3 linked regions of the Alligator mississippiensis genome follow. Each later gene encodes a partner of the first gene's protein in a complex. Links are inferred from orthologs where the notes say so. Each region holds a gene or a part of one and is shown on either strand. Other genes may lie near its edges. The genes, in order: SARNP, THOC5 and THOC7.

The links.
Region 2: SARNP (region 1) and THOC5 share a complex: the UniProt entries of both Homo sapiens proteins name them as parts of the transcription/export (TREX) complex. The link is inferred for Alligator mississippiensis from reciprocal best matches to the Homo sapiens genes SARNP and THOC5.
Region 3: SARNP (region 1) and THOC7 share a complex: the UniProt entries of both Homo sapiens proteins name them as parts of the transcription/export (TREX) complex. The link is inferred for Alligator mississippiensis from reciprocal best matches to the Homo sapiens genes SARNP and THOC7.

What each region holds. Positions count from the first base shown.
Region 1 is NC_081838.1:6,888,096-6,891,839, reverse strand, and holds the start of SARNP (SAP domain-containing ribonucleoprotein), read left to right. Parts: upstream 1-1,425; 5' UTR 1,426-1,482; coding exon 1,483-1,518; intron 1,519-3,352; coding exon 3,353-3,452; intron 3,453-3,744. Other genes in the region: ORMDL2 (ORM1-like protein 2), read right to left, coding at 1-9, 500-651, 752-925. UniProt on the Homo sapiens protein: Binds both single-stranded and double-stranded DNA with higher affinity for the single-stranded form. Specifically binds to scaffold/matrix attachment region DNA. Also binds single-stranded RNA. Enhances RNA unwinding activity of DDX39A.
Region 2 is NC_081833.1:26,651,630-26,655,373, reverse strand, and holds the start of THOC5 (THO complex subunit 5 homolog), read left to right. Parts: upstream 1-1,024; 5' UTR 1,025-1,118; intron 1,119-1,245; coding exon 1,246-1,341; intron 1,342-2,279; coding exon 2,280-2,423; intron 2,424-3,553; coding exon 3,554-3,667; intron 3,668-3,744. UniProt on the Homo sapiens protein: Component of the THO subcomplex of the TREX complex which is thought to couple mRNA transcription, processing and nuclear export, and which specifically associates with spliced mRNA and not with unspliced pre-mRNA.
Region 3 is NC_081835.1:3,383,293-3,387,036, forward strand, and holds the start of THOC7 (THO complex subunit 7 homolog), read right to left. Parts: upstream 2,336-3,744; 5' UTR 2,263-2,335; coding exon 2,244-2,262; intron 2,164-2,243; coding exon 2,046-2,163; intron 1-2,045. UniProt on the Homo sapiens protein: Component of the THO subcomplex of the TREX complex which is thought to couple mRNA transcription, processing and nuclear export, and which specifically associates with spliced mRNA and not with unspliced pre-mRNA.

The sequences.
Region 1 (3,744 bases):
AGGAGGTAACTAGGAGAGAACAGCGAGGATGGTTCAGTGCCCTGCCAGAGTCTGGCAGGGAGGCAGGACTGGCAGAGACTGGAGCCCTCCACGCGAGGCAATCATCCCAGGAGCCACGCAGCTCAGGCCGGGCCCTGCGGTGTTTCTACTTAGTGCTCAAGTGCAACCTGCTCCTTGGCACCCCTGCATGCGGCCCAAGGCCCAACAGCTCGCTGCAGACCAGGCCAGGCAGTTTTCCTGGCTCTGAGCAGAAAACACCTGCTCTTTCTGGGCATCAGAGCTGGGCCCAGTCCCACTGACCATTCCCGCGATGAGTAACTGAAGCTAAAGCCACGGCCTGACTTGCCTCAGGATCGCAGCGGCCTCTGCAAGGGGAACGTGTCCCCTGCCATGAGCCCTCCCACGCTCACGCCATGAACAGCCTCGGGCGCCGCCCCGGCCTGCAGAGCCCGGCAAGGGGACAGCACGGCAGGGAGGCCCCGCACGCAGCGGCACTCACAGGACTACTGGCGAGATGCTGAGGAACTTGCGGGAAGAGGTGCACTGGGTGCCGTAATCGATCTGCTCCCAGTGGGTGAGGAGACGGGCCTTGCCCTGGTCCGGCGTCTCGAACGGGGTCCCCTTCACGGTGTGCAGCAGCCAGTACATGGCCTGCGGGGTTCCAGCGCCAGAAGGAAAGCGGATGTAAGGGGGGGGCTGGCCCCGGGGAGAGGGACCCCCCCCCCAGCTCCTTGCCCCCGCGGCGCCTCACCAGGTTGTGGATGACGTTGGTGAGGGTCCACACCACGGGGATGCTGAAGAAGGGGATGCTGAGGAGGACGATGTGGAGGACGCCCACCAGGATCCCGTAGGCCAGCCAGATGCCGCGGCTGTTCATCACGCGCGTGTTGGGGTTCCCCTCGCTGTGCGCCACCCCCACGTTCATCCTGCACGAGGCCCCTCGGCTCTCGCCCGGTCTGGGCGCGACCGATCCCCTCCAGCGAGCTGGGAGCAGGAGAAGGGGCCGCCCTAAGCGGGGCTGCGACCCGGTGCTGCTCCCCGCCCCGGTGCTGGAGGCGGTGGGGGGGACACAGGCGCCCAGGCCTAGTGCTGCCCCCGCAGTGGGCTGGGGAAAGGACCCAGGAGTCCGGGCTCAGCTCCTCCTCCTCCCGCCTTCCCTTCCCCCCACCTGGCGGCGCCGCGCCGGTTACCGGAATCCCCCAATGCCGGGCTCCGTCTCCAGGAAGTGCCTGCGCCCGCCCCTGTGCCACTATTGGTCGTCTCCGTACCCAACCCGCCGTCCTATTGGTCCATGGGGGCGCCACTCGGGCCTACTCCCGCCCTCCCCGCATCGCGCGAGCCAGGCCAATAGCGAGCCGCGGGGTTGGGCCAATGGCGAGGCGCGAGGTTGGCGGCGCCGACCCGGTAGCAAGCGGGGGCTCCATTGGGCCGGGGAGCCGGGACGGGGCGGGGCGGGCGACGGCGAGCTGAGGGGGCGACAAGATGGCGGCGGAGACCGTGGAGCTGCACAAGCTGAAGGTGCGGGCGGAGTGGGGGGATCCGGGCTGGCTCAGGGGAATCCATGTTTGAAGCTTGTTCGCGACCCTTTCGTCTGTGTCGTGTCCGGGGGCGGGCGCCAGCGCGGAGAGGACGAGGACACGTTGGAGAGAGTCCAGGGAAGAGCAGCCTTCACCTCCCTGCGGGGGGGGATGGAGCTGGGCTGGCCTCAGTGGTGGCAGATGGCGGAGGGGGGAAGTTGAGCCGAGGCCAGTTTCCCGCAGCGCTCGTGGACCTTTGTTCTCGCGGCCCCCGTGGGCTCCTCTGCGTGGGCTTCCCAAAAGCCGACTCTTGCTGGCTTGTCTGGGGACCGGCCCGGTTTGGGAAGGGCCTGATTATAGGGAGGGTAAACGCTGGTTGCTGCGAGCAAGGGACCTGTGCCAAGGTGTGCAGAGGCGTTCGGTGCATCCCTGGTCGGAGAATAAGGACGTTTCCCCGGATACGTCACGATTGCGGACGCGCCCAAAGACCAGAGGGGATGTGGTACTTTGGCAGTGGCTAGCTCTGAATGTGAAACGGTCTTGCAGAGAGCGAGAGGAAGGCCCTGGGGCCTGCTTGAGACCCCGAAAATTAGACTGGCTAAAGGGTCCTCTGGGGAGTGCTGTGCTGAGCCCTGGCGGGTGGACTCGGTGATCTGAGGGCTGTCTTTCTTTTCGCGTATCCTGTACGGTGGAATAAATAATATCTCCTAGAGACGTGGCCTTTCACCTTAATCTGTGTGGACTGTGACGTAGAGGGACGTATCTTTATGTCATTGGGTGAAGCCAAGTCCCAGAGGGATGAAGTATCTTGTCCGAGGCGCTGACAAATCACTGACACGGCGGAGGGCAAGTTTCATAAACCTGCTTTCCGGCTCCACCTCGGCGCAGGCCCCCCAGAGCCTCTGCCATGCCATGCCATGCTGTCTCCTGTGAAGTTTCACCATCTTCGTATTTTGCAATTGCTCATTAACACAGTGCCTAGGTGCTGCAAGAGGTAATTGCCAGGTCTTCAGAGCTTGGTTTTTTTTTGGCATGACCGTGGAGGTTAGTTACCCTTAGCAGGTGTGATGAAAGGTGCTTTGTTACACACAGCAAGCAAATGTAACTCCTCTGCCAGTTTTGTTTCACGTGGGGTGTGAACTCTGCTTTCAGGACAGCATAAAACCCACAGGATGCAAAGCGGGCCTGTCATGCTGAGAGACAGCGTGGAATCAGGTCCTCTACTTACAGTAAATCCTTGGTCTTCCTTGAGCTCCTGCTCAACTTTTGGGGTCTGAGGAGTTTTATTAATGGAGGGAAGTGAAGGCACAGGAAGAATACTGGAAATTGAGAGATGGAGAAATTGTATGAGATGTTCTCACTTCTGTCTAGGGCAGCACTGTGCCATGGCCACTTGGTTTTGTGGATTCCTGGTTGTTGGTGGGGGGGAAGGGGAGCGGGTTAAGTAAGTGTTATAGCCATGTAGAGGGGTTTGGGTTGTAGCCGTGTTGATCTAAGGACATAGGCAGACAAGGTTCCTTGGGTGAATTTGATATCTTTTATTAGACCACCCCAAATGGTTGGAGAATAGTTATTAAGCAAGCTTTCGGGTTCAAAAACCCTTCGTCAGGCTAAGGAAGCTTCAGCAGTTGGTGACTGCCATGTAGAGAGAGTTATCAAAGCTAGGAGGAATCCAGGCAACCAGGCTTGTAATCCCCCTGCTTTGACCAGCTGGCCGTGTTGCTATTCCTTTGTCAGTGACCATGCCCTTGACGTCCCTCTTTGGCTTTGGGTCTAGCCCGTTCATGGCTCACATGGGTGACGTGTACTAACAGGAAGGCTGTTCTCTCATGCAGCTTGCTGAACTGAAACAGGAATGTACAGCCCGTGGCCTGGAGGCAAAAGGAAACAAACAGGACCTCATAAACAGACTCCAGGCATACCTTGAGGAGCACGGTAGGTCACGCTTTCTGCTGGAGTCAACTTTCCTGGGCTTGGGCTTGCTGTAAGAATGCTGACTGGGTGTCTCAGGGCTGCAGCCTCTGAGGAGAGAGCTCTTTGGCATCGTGGTCCTTGGAGCATTCCTGCTGTTGGGTTCCATCCAGCAGGTGTTAATCAGACAGAGCTCCCATACAGTGATGGTACTGTTTGGAGAGCCAGAGCAAGACTGGGCCCATCTTAAGGTTAGGCTCTTTTTTTTTTTTTCCTTTGCTCCCAGTGCTACTGCCTTAAACAGCACTTTCTAGAG
Region 2 (3,744 bases), on another chromosome or scaffold:
AGGCCTCGTGCTTTGTTTCATTGATGTTGATGGTTTCCTTTTACTTTGCTGACCAAGCTAGTTGTCATAGCTGAAAAGGTTTACGTTAGTCCCACAGAAAACAGGGTTTGGGGACTTCTGCTTAGCCCCAGTTCTGCAGCTTGGCCTAAGCCCCTGAAAACTGGCAACCAGACCCTACTACCTGTGTGGGCTTCAGGTGAAGGCCCCAGTCCAGGTACCAGCTCCCCCAGAGCCAACGCTGGACAGGCATGAGACCAGGTGTGCTCAACACCCAGTACATGGAGCAGTGCTGTGTGCTCATGAGACAACACTAGCTTTTAGTGACGGGCCATTACTGGAGGAGGCGTGATTGCTTAGGGACAGGAAGAGGTAAGGCCCAGGGAGACCGAGCTGGGCAGCAGGAATTTCAAAGGATAAGACTTGTTGCAAGAGGGGCAGGGCAATGGGCAGCCCTGGGGAATGGCTGCTGGTGTTGCCCTTCTCCATACCCCGCCAGGCACAGGCCAGCAGTGTCAAGCATGAGAAGATGGTGGCCCAGCTGGCAGCAGTGTTGCCCCAGATGCCTCAATCCGACTTCTGAGCAAAGATGCCAGCAGTTGGCAAGGTGGGGGGAGGAGGCCTTGCCCAGTAGGGTCATCTGCCAGGTTGAGAGTGGGAAGGGCCCGCGTCCTGCCCCTTCCTTCACTCCCGGACGTGCTGAGGGGAGCAAAGCCTCATAGTTGCAGTGGACGGAGGCATTAGGCCCATTTCACAGACAGGCAAGCTGAGGCCCTGGGGGCGGAGGCGAAGCCAGGGCGAACCCAGCAGCCCCACACCCTTTGGGGGGCACGGGGGTGACGGGAGGCAGCTCACCGGGCCTCCCCCAGCGCTGCGCGGGGCTGCGGGAGCTCGCGGCCGTGTGCCCGTGCCCGGCGCTAGGACCCCGCGCTGAAGGGGCCTGGCCCAGACGCGGGCGATCGCGGCGCGGGCGGTGACGCTCCCCAGGGGAGACCGCGTCGGCGCAGGGTAGTAGGGGGCGCTCCCTCCTTCAACTGCCGGCTGCCCGGGCGGCCGCTCTAGCGTGTGCCTCGTCTGCTCCTGCACAGCCACTTCCGGTTGGAGCGGTGGCCGGGACGCAGGTGAGCGCGCTGCGGCGCCGCCCCTCCCCCCTTCCCCGCCGGCCGTGGAGCCGCACTCCGCCGGGGCCCGGTGCGTGGGGGCGGGGCTCGGTGAGCGGCGGCCGCTGACGCTTCCTCCCGCCCGCAGATGTCGTCGGACTCGAGTAAGAAGCGGAAGCCCAAGGTGATCCGCACGGACGGCGCCGCGCCCGACGGCAAGCGCAGCAAGGCGGACGCCGAGCAGGTACTGCGGGGCGGGGCCTCTCCGCCCCCAGCACGTCGGATCCGGGCCAGCCTGCGGCCCCTGCGCCGGGACGAGCAGCCTGAGCTTGCTTGGGTGCGGGGTGACCGGCCCTTTGCCGCGGGGCAGGGGCTGCCGCACTGCAGCTGGTGCTGGGAGCGGCCTTGGCGGGGCAGTAGCAGGCATCTGTCGGTTTTGAAAAGCAGTGGGGTTGCGCGGAGCGGGGCACCAGCTTGCTGGACGTGGCGGGGCCCTGCTCTGGAGTGACTGCCGCTTGCACCACGTACAGAGTTCAGTTCGTATCAAACCCTCCTGGATGCGGTGCTGGGTCTTCCTGATGCACTTGCCATCTTCAGCTTGTCAGCCCTTCCCCTCCAAAGCCTTTGTTTTGTGCTGGGCAGACTGTGCCTTTTACCTGCCAAAGGAGACTGGACACACTCCTTGCTGGGGTGGTTTGAGCCCAGCAGTCTTTCCTGCCCAGAGCGGGACCCGATGATCTCACGAGGTCCCTTCCAGCCCTAAACTTCTGTGAATCTATGTCCAGGCAGTTCAGTCCTCAGCAGTCTTCTCACAGTTGTTTGACTCTGTTTGTTGCTTTCATATCTCTCTGGCAAGCATCTCTGAACCTTTTACAAATGTTTTATTTGTTGCTCTTCTCTTCCCTTCCCTCCCCTCTTCCTTAGTTGTTTGATTGCCTAACTAGGACCTGTGCAGATCAGATGCTAATTTTAATGGGATTATGGGTGAGGCATGGATTTGCCAGGCTTGGATCTCCCGTGGAGTTTGCAGCACTAGCGGTTGGGTCACTGGTGCATAAAGCATTTGGATTCTGGAGTGGATGGAGTGAGGCTAAACATAAGGCCCACAATGTGATTTCTGCAGGACTCTTTCTGAGAAGGGAAGGGAATCCAGTTGAAACCTATTTTCTTGCTGTTTTACAGGATGTTAAGTACTATAGTGAAGAGACAGAGGTGGATCTAAGAGACCCTGGCAAAGACTATGAACTCTACAAGCAAACTTGCGAGGAGCTTCAGAGGCTCATGGCAGAAATCCAGGATCTGAAGAGTAAAGGCAGCAAAGACAGTGTAAGGAGAGACCTCTGGAGTACTGTGCTGGTGAAATGCTTGCTCACAACAAAACACTAAAATGGAAAGATTGAATAATTCATTGTAGTTAGGACAGAAAGTTTTAACCATATGAATCCAGCACTGTTTACTGCTCTCTGATGCTTTGAATTCCTGTGTAAAACAAATAGGTGCATTTTGCTCTGGTTCCTCCTAGACAGGGAATATCCCAGGTGGCTGACTGCTTCTGTTTGTGGCAATGCGGCTAGGAAGGCGGTATGAAGGCTGCAGGCCCCTTGTGCTCCCCTCATGTGGTAACTACCCATGTTGTGCCTGTTCTGATTCTTGTCCTAAATATAGCAACAGCTGTTAACCTGACAACAGAAAGGAGGTGCAAAAGTCACTGAGTGATATCTGTGATTGTAGGCAGTTGCAATGGAGTCACTTGTCCCAGATTTTATTCCATAGGATATTTATACCTTATTAAGTAGTGGACACATGACCAGGTCTCCCAGGTTAGTAGGTATGATTACGCTGTCAGTCACTAAGTGGCTCAGGTCAAATTAGAGCAAATGCTACCTTGCAATGAAATTGAGAACTGGAGAAGTGTGTGTAGTTTCCTACAGACACACACAGCTCTTGTAACTTGCATCAGTTACCCCTTGGAAAGTGAGGAATAACTTTTCCACACAGTAGTGTGACTTACGATGGTGTAAGGTTGTGTGTCTACATCTGGCCTTCAGGGAATCTTAGACCAACCTGTTTTATTGAACTAGAGTGTAAAACTGTCTCTGAATTAGGGATTCAATTACTGAAAGCTCTCATTAAAGCAGCACCCAGGGCCCTCTAGTGGGACTGAGTTCTGTCTTACATGCATGGAGAATTGTGGACTAAGGAATGGACACAATGAGGAGGACCTCTATTTATTTCTAACACTTGAACATTGAGACTGGGAAGGAGAGGGGGCCTGGCAGAAGCTCAGGGGATTGTTACCAGTGTTTTTCCTGTAAGATTCATCTCTGTAGCTCCCTGCTTGCTTTAGGTTCTTCTAACTAGCACAATAACCAACTAGCTCTGCAGTGGCTAGTTACTTACAAGAGCTGCTAGCAAGGAACTTTGTCCACATCAGACTCCCCGCTCTTGCCCTTCAGGCTGCTGAGATTGAGGAGCGGCGGATCCAGAGCTGTGTGCATTTCATGACTCTGAAGAAACTCAACCGTTTGGCTCACATCCGGCTGAAGAAGGGGAGAGATCAAACCCATGAGGTATGCTGAAGGCCACAGGCTGTGAAAGAAATGCAGAAGTGGATGGTGAAATGCTCAAGGAATATGGGTAATCCCTG
Region 3 (3,744 bases), on another chromosome or scaffold:
TAATATTCCAAGTATTCAGTGCATCATTCTTGGAAAATGTAATTTAGAAAGACACTCTTGAGGCTCATTCTAGTGTTGCATCTTTAAGTTTATTTTCAGGATGCGAAGCATGTATTCGAGTAATGGAAAGATTTACCCCTGGATTAAAAATATCTCATTAGGGCAGCATTTATGTACACTCAGATTAGTAGCACTCAGAGGTTCTTGTCTGGATTACAGTTCCACGGTACTCTCGTCTGAAAGACCTGCAAGAGGGTATTCTTTTCCTCCCAGCACTTAAAATACCTTCTTTGTACCAGGCTCTCACATGTGGCCTTCTGGAACATACATACCGCAGAAACGGAGCCCAGAAACATGGACTACACACCATGCATCTGGCCCTGTTGAAACCTGCCGCCATTGCAGCCCACGGCAGTTCATTGCCTTGTTGCTCGGGGGATTGCAAACACTGCAGGGCTATGGTTCTCAACCTTTCTTAGACCCAAGGCAGCCCTTGCTAGACTCAAGACCCCCAGCAAAAAATGCCAGCTCTTAGTCTGCGCTCCATGTTCAACTTCCGTTCCAAAGAACTCGCAAAGGCCCAAAACAGGTGGGAACATTTGTAACCCCCTTGATTCCCGTTTGAAGCCTCTGGATGGAAAAGGTGAATTAGGTTTGCAACCCTCCCAGCACTAACCTTGCATGGACACCCCAGAAAGCAGCTTGGGGCACCTGGAAAGGATCTTTGTAATCCCCTGGATTCCTGTTCTAAGTCTCTGGGTGGATGCAGTGAATCGGGTTTGTACCCTTCACAGTTACAGCTTTGTGTGGACACCCCAGAAAACAGCTGAGAGCACCCTAGAAAGGATCTCAGGGCAGCTCACAAAGGATGGAAACCCCCCGGGATTCCTGTCTGAAATCTCTGGGTGGATGCGGTGAATCGGGTTTGCACCCCTCACTGCAGCTGATCTTCTGTAGCACCCCAGGAAGCATCTCAGGGCACCCCAAAAAGGATCTTTGTGACCCCCTGAATTGCCATTTGAAGTCTCCGAGTGGATGCAGTGAATCGGGTTTGCCCCCCTCACCGTGCTACCCTGCATGGGCACCCTGGGAAGCAGCTCAGGGTAAAGCTAGAAGGCAGCTGGAGAGCACCCCAGAAAGGATTTCCTGGCTTCCTGTTAGCAACCTTGGGGTGGATGTGGAAAACTGAGTCTGCACCCTGGAAAGCCCCTCAGGGCACCCCAATGGGGATCTCAGGGTACCCCAAATGGGGATCTCAAGGGCATGCCAGAGGAGCTCTCAAGGGCACTCCAGGGGGGATCCCAGGGCACCCCATTAAAACCTCAAGGGCACCCCAGATGGGATCCCAGAGCACTTCAAATGGGGATCTCGAGGGCACATCAGAGGGGGGATCTCTGGGCACCCCAATGGGGATCTCAAGGGCATGTCAGAGGAGATCTCAAGGGCACCCCAGCAAAACCTCAAGGACACCCCAGATGGGATCCCAGGGCATCCCAGAGGAGATGCACCTCAAATGGGGATCTCAAGGGCACGTCAGAAAAGATGTCAGGGACACCCGAGAAGAGATCCCAGGGCACCCCAGCAAACTCTCAAGGGTCCCCCAGAGGGGATCCCATGGACACCCCAAATGGGGATCTCGGGGCATGCCAGAGGGGATCCCAGAGCACCCCATCAAGATATCAAGGGCACTCCAGGGGGGATGTCAGGGTACCCCAAATGGGGGTCTCAAGGGCATGTCAGAGGAGATCTCAAGGGCACCCCAGGGGGGATCCCAAGGCACCCCAGCAAGGATCTCAAGGGCACCCCAGATGGGACCCCAGGGCATCCCAGAGGGGATCTCAAGGGTCTGCTAGAGGGGATCTCATGGACACCCCCGACAGGATCCCAGGAGCACTGCAGAGGGGATCCCACGGACACCCCAAATGGGGATCTCAAGGGCCTGCCAGAGGGGATCGCAGGGCACCCCACGGGGGGGTCTCACGGCCCCCCTCCCCCCGAGGGTCCCCGGCCCGGCCCGGCCCGGCACGGCTGTGGTGGGCGCGCACCCCTCCTCGTGGCTGGCGCCGTGGCCCCACTTGAGGAAGCTCTTGACCAGCAGGTTGATGCGGCGGTCGTCGCCCGCGCCGTCGCCGTCGATCAGCAGCCGCTTGCGGATCACCTCGTCTGCAAAACACCGCGCGTCAGCCGCCCGCGCCCCCCACCCGGCCCGGGCCCACCCGCGCCCCGGCCCGGCCCGGCCTCACCGTCCGTGACGGCGCCCATGGCGGCAGCGATGTCGATGGCGGCGGCGGGGAGGCGGCGGCGGCGGCGGTGAGGTCAGCTTCCCACAATGCAGCCGGCTGCGCGGCAGACATGGACGCCGAGGCGGCGGTGGCGGCGGCGGCGGGGGCCGGGGCCGGGGCCTGAGGCCGAGGCCGAGCCCGGCGCGCGGGGCCGGGGGCAGCCGCTGCAGGTGAGGGGCGCCGCGCCACCCCCCCGCGGGCCTACCCGGCCCCGCCGCCCGCCACCCGCACCGCGGGCCTGGCCTGGGCTGGGCGGGCGGCCTGCCTGCCTGCCTGCCCCGCGCGCCCCGGCTGTGAGAGGGGCGGCCACGTGAGGGGAGGCAGGGCGACACATGGGCGCGGGGGGCACCCCGCACTTGCCATCGGTCACCCACCCGGAGCCGGGGTGTCCTTCACGCCTCCCTCCCTCCCTGGCGTCCCTCACTGTTGGTAACTTTCCTCTTTCCCTGCCCCTAAAACAGTCCTCGCCTTTCTCTTTGCGTTGCGTCCCTCTCACCGCCGCGGTGGTGGGCGCCGAGGCACCATTCAGGTCTCATTCGAGCAAATGGGAACAATGCCGCAGGCTTCGGGGGCGCCGCATCATGCTCCGCACCTTGCAGGTCAACCACCACCATTGACTGGCGTCCTGGCGTTGAACATCTCTCTACCTACCTACCTACCGAGATCCGTGCAGACAGTCTCACCTACCATCAGCTCACGTCCTCACATCTGACTATACACATGTACACACACACACAAATATACACATATACACACACATATACCTGTAAAATGCACGGATGCAATCCAAAAAATCAGAGGTCATTGCAACATGTCAAGGAAGTAATAGAAAATTATATATATAATTGATAAAATATAATATAGCTATACCTATCTAGATACTATATCTATCTATCTATAGATATCTACCTATAGATAGATGGATATCTATACTATATCTAGCTATACTATATCTATCTATCTATCTATAGATATCTACCTATAGATAGATGGATATCTATACTATATCTAGCTATACTATATCTAGCTATCTATCTATAGATATCTACCTATAAGATAGATGGATATCTATACTATATCTAGCTATACTGTATATCTATCTATAGAAATCTACCTATAGATAGATGGATATCTATACTATATCTAGCTATACTGTATATCTATCTATAGAAATCTACCTATAGATAGATGGATATCTATACTATATCTAGCTATACTATATATCTATCTATAGAAATCTACCTATAGATAGATGGATATCTATACTATAGCTATACTATATCTATCTATCTATAGATATCTATACTATATTTAGCTATACTATATCTATCTGTAGATATAGATGTATAGATAGATATAGAAAGTATAGGTCTATCTATAGATCTATCTATAGATATCTATGGATACTATAGATCTACCTAGATCTAGCTATAGATAGATAGATATAGTGATAGAATATAAC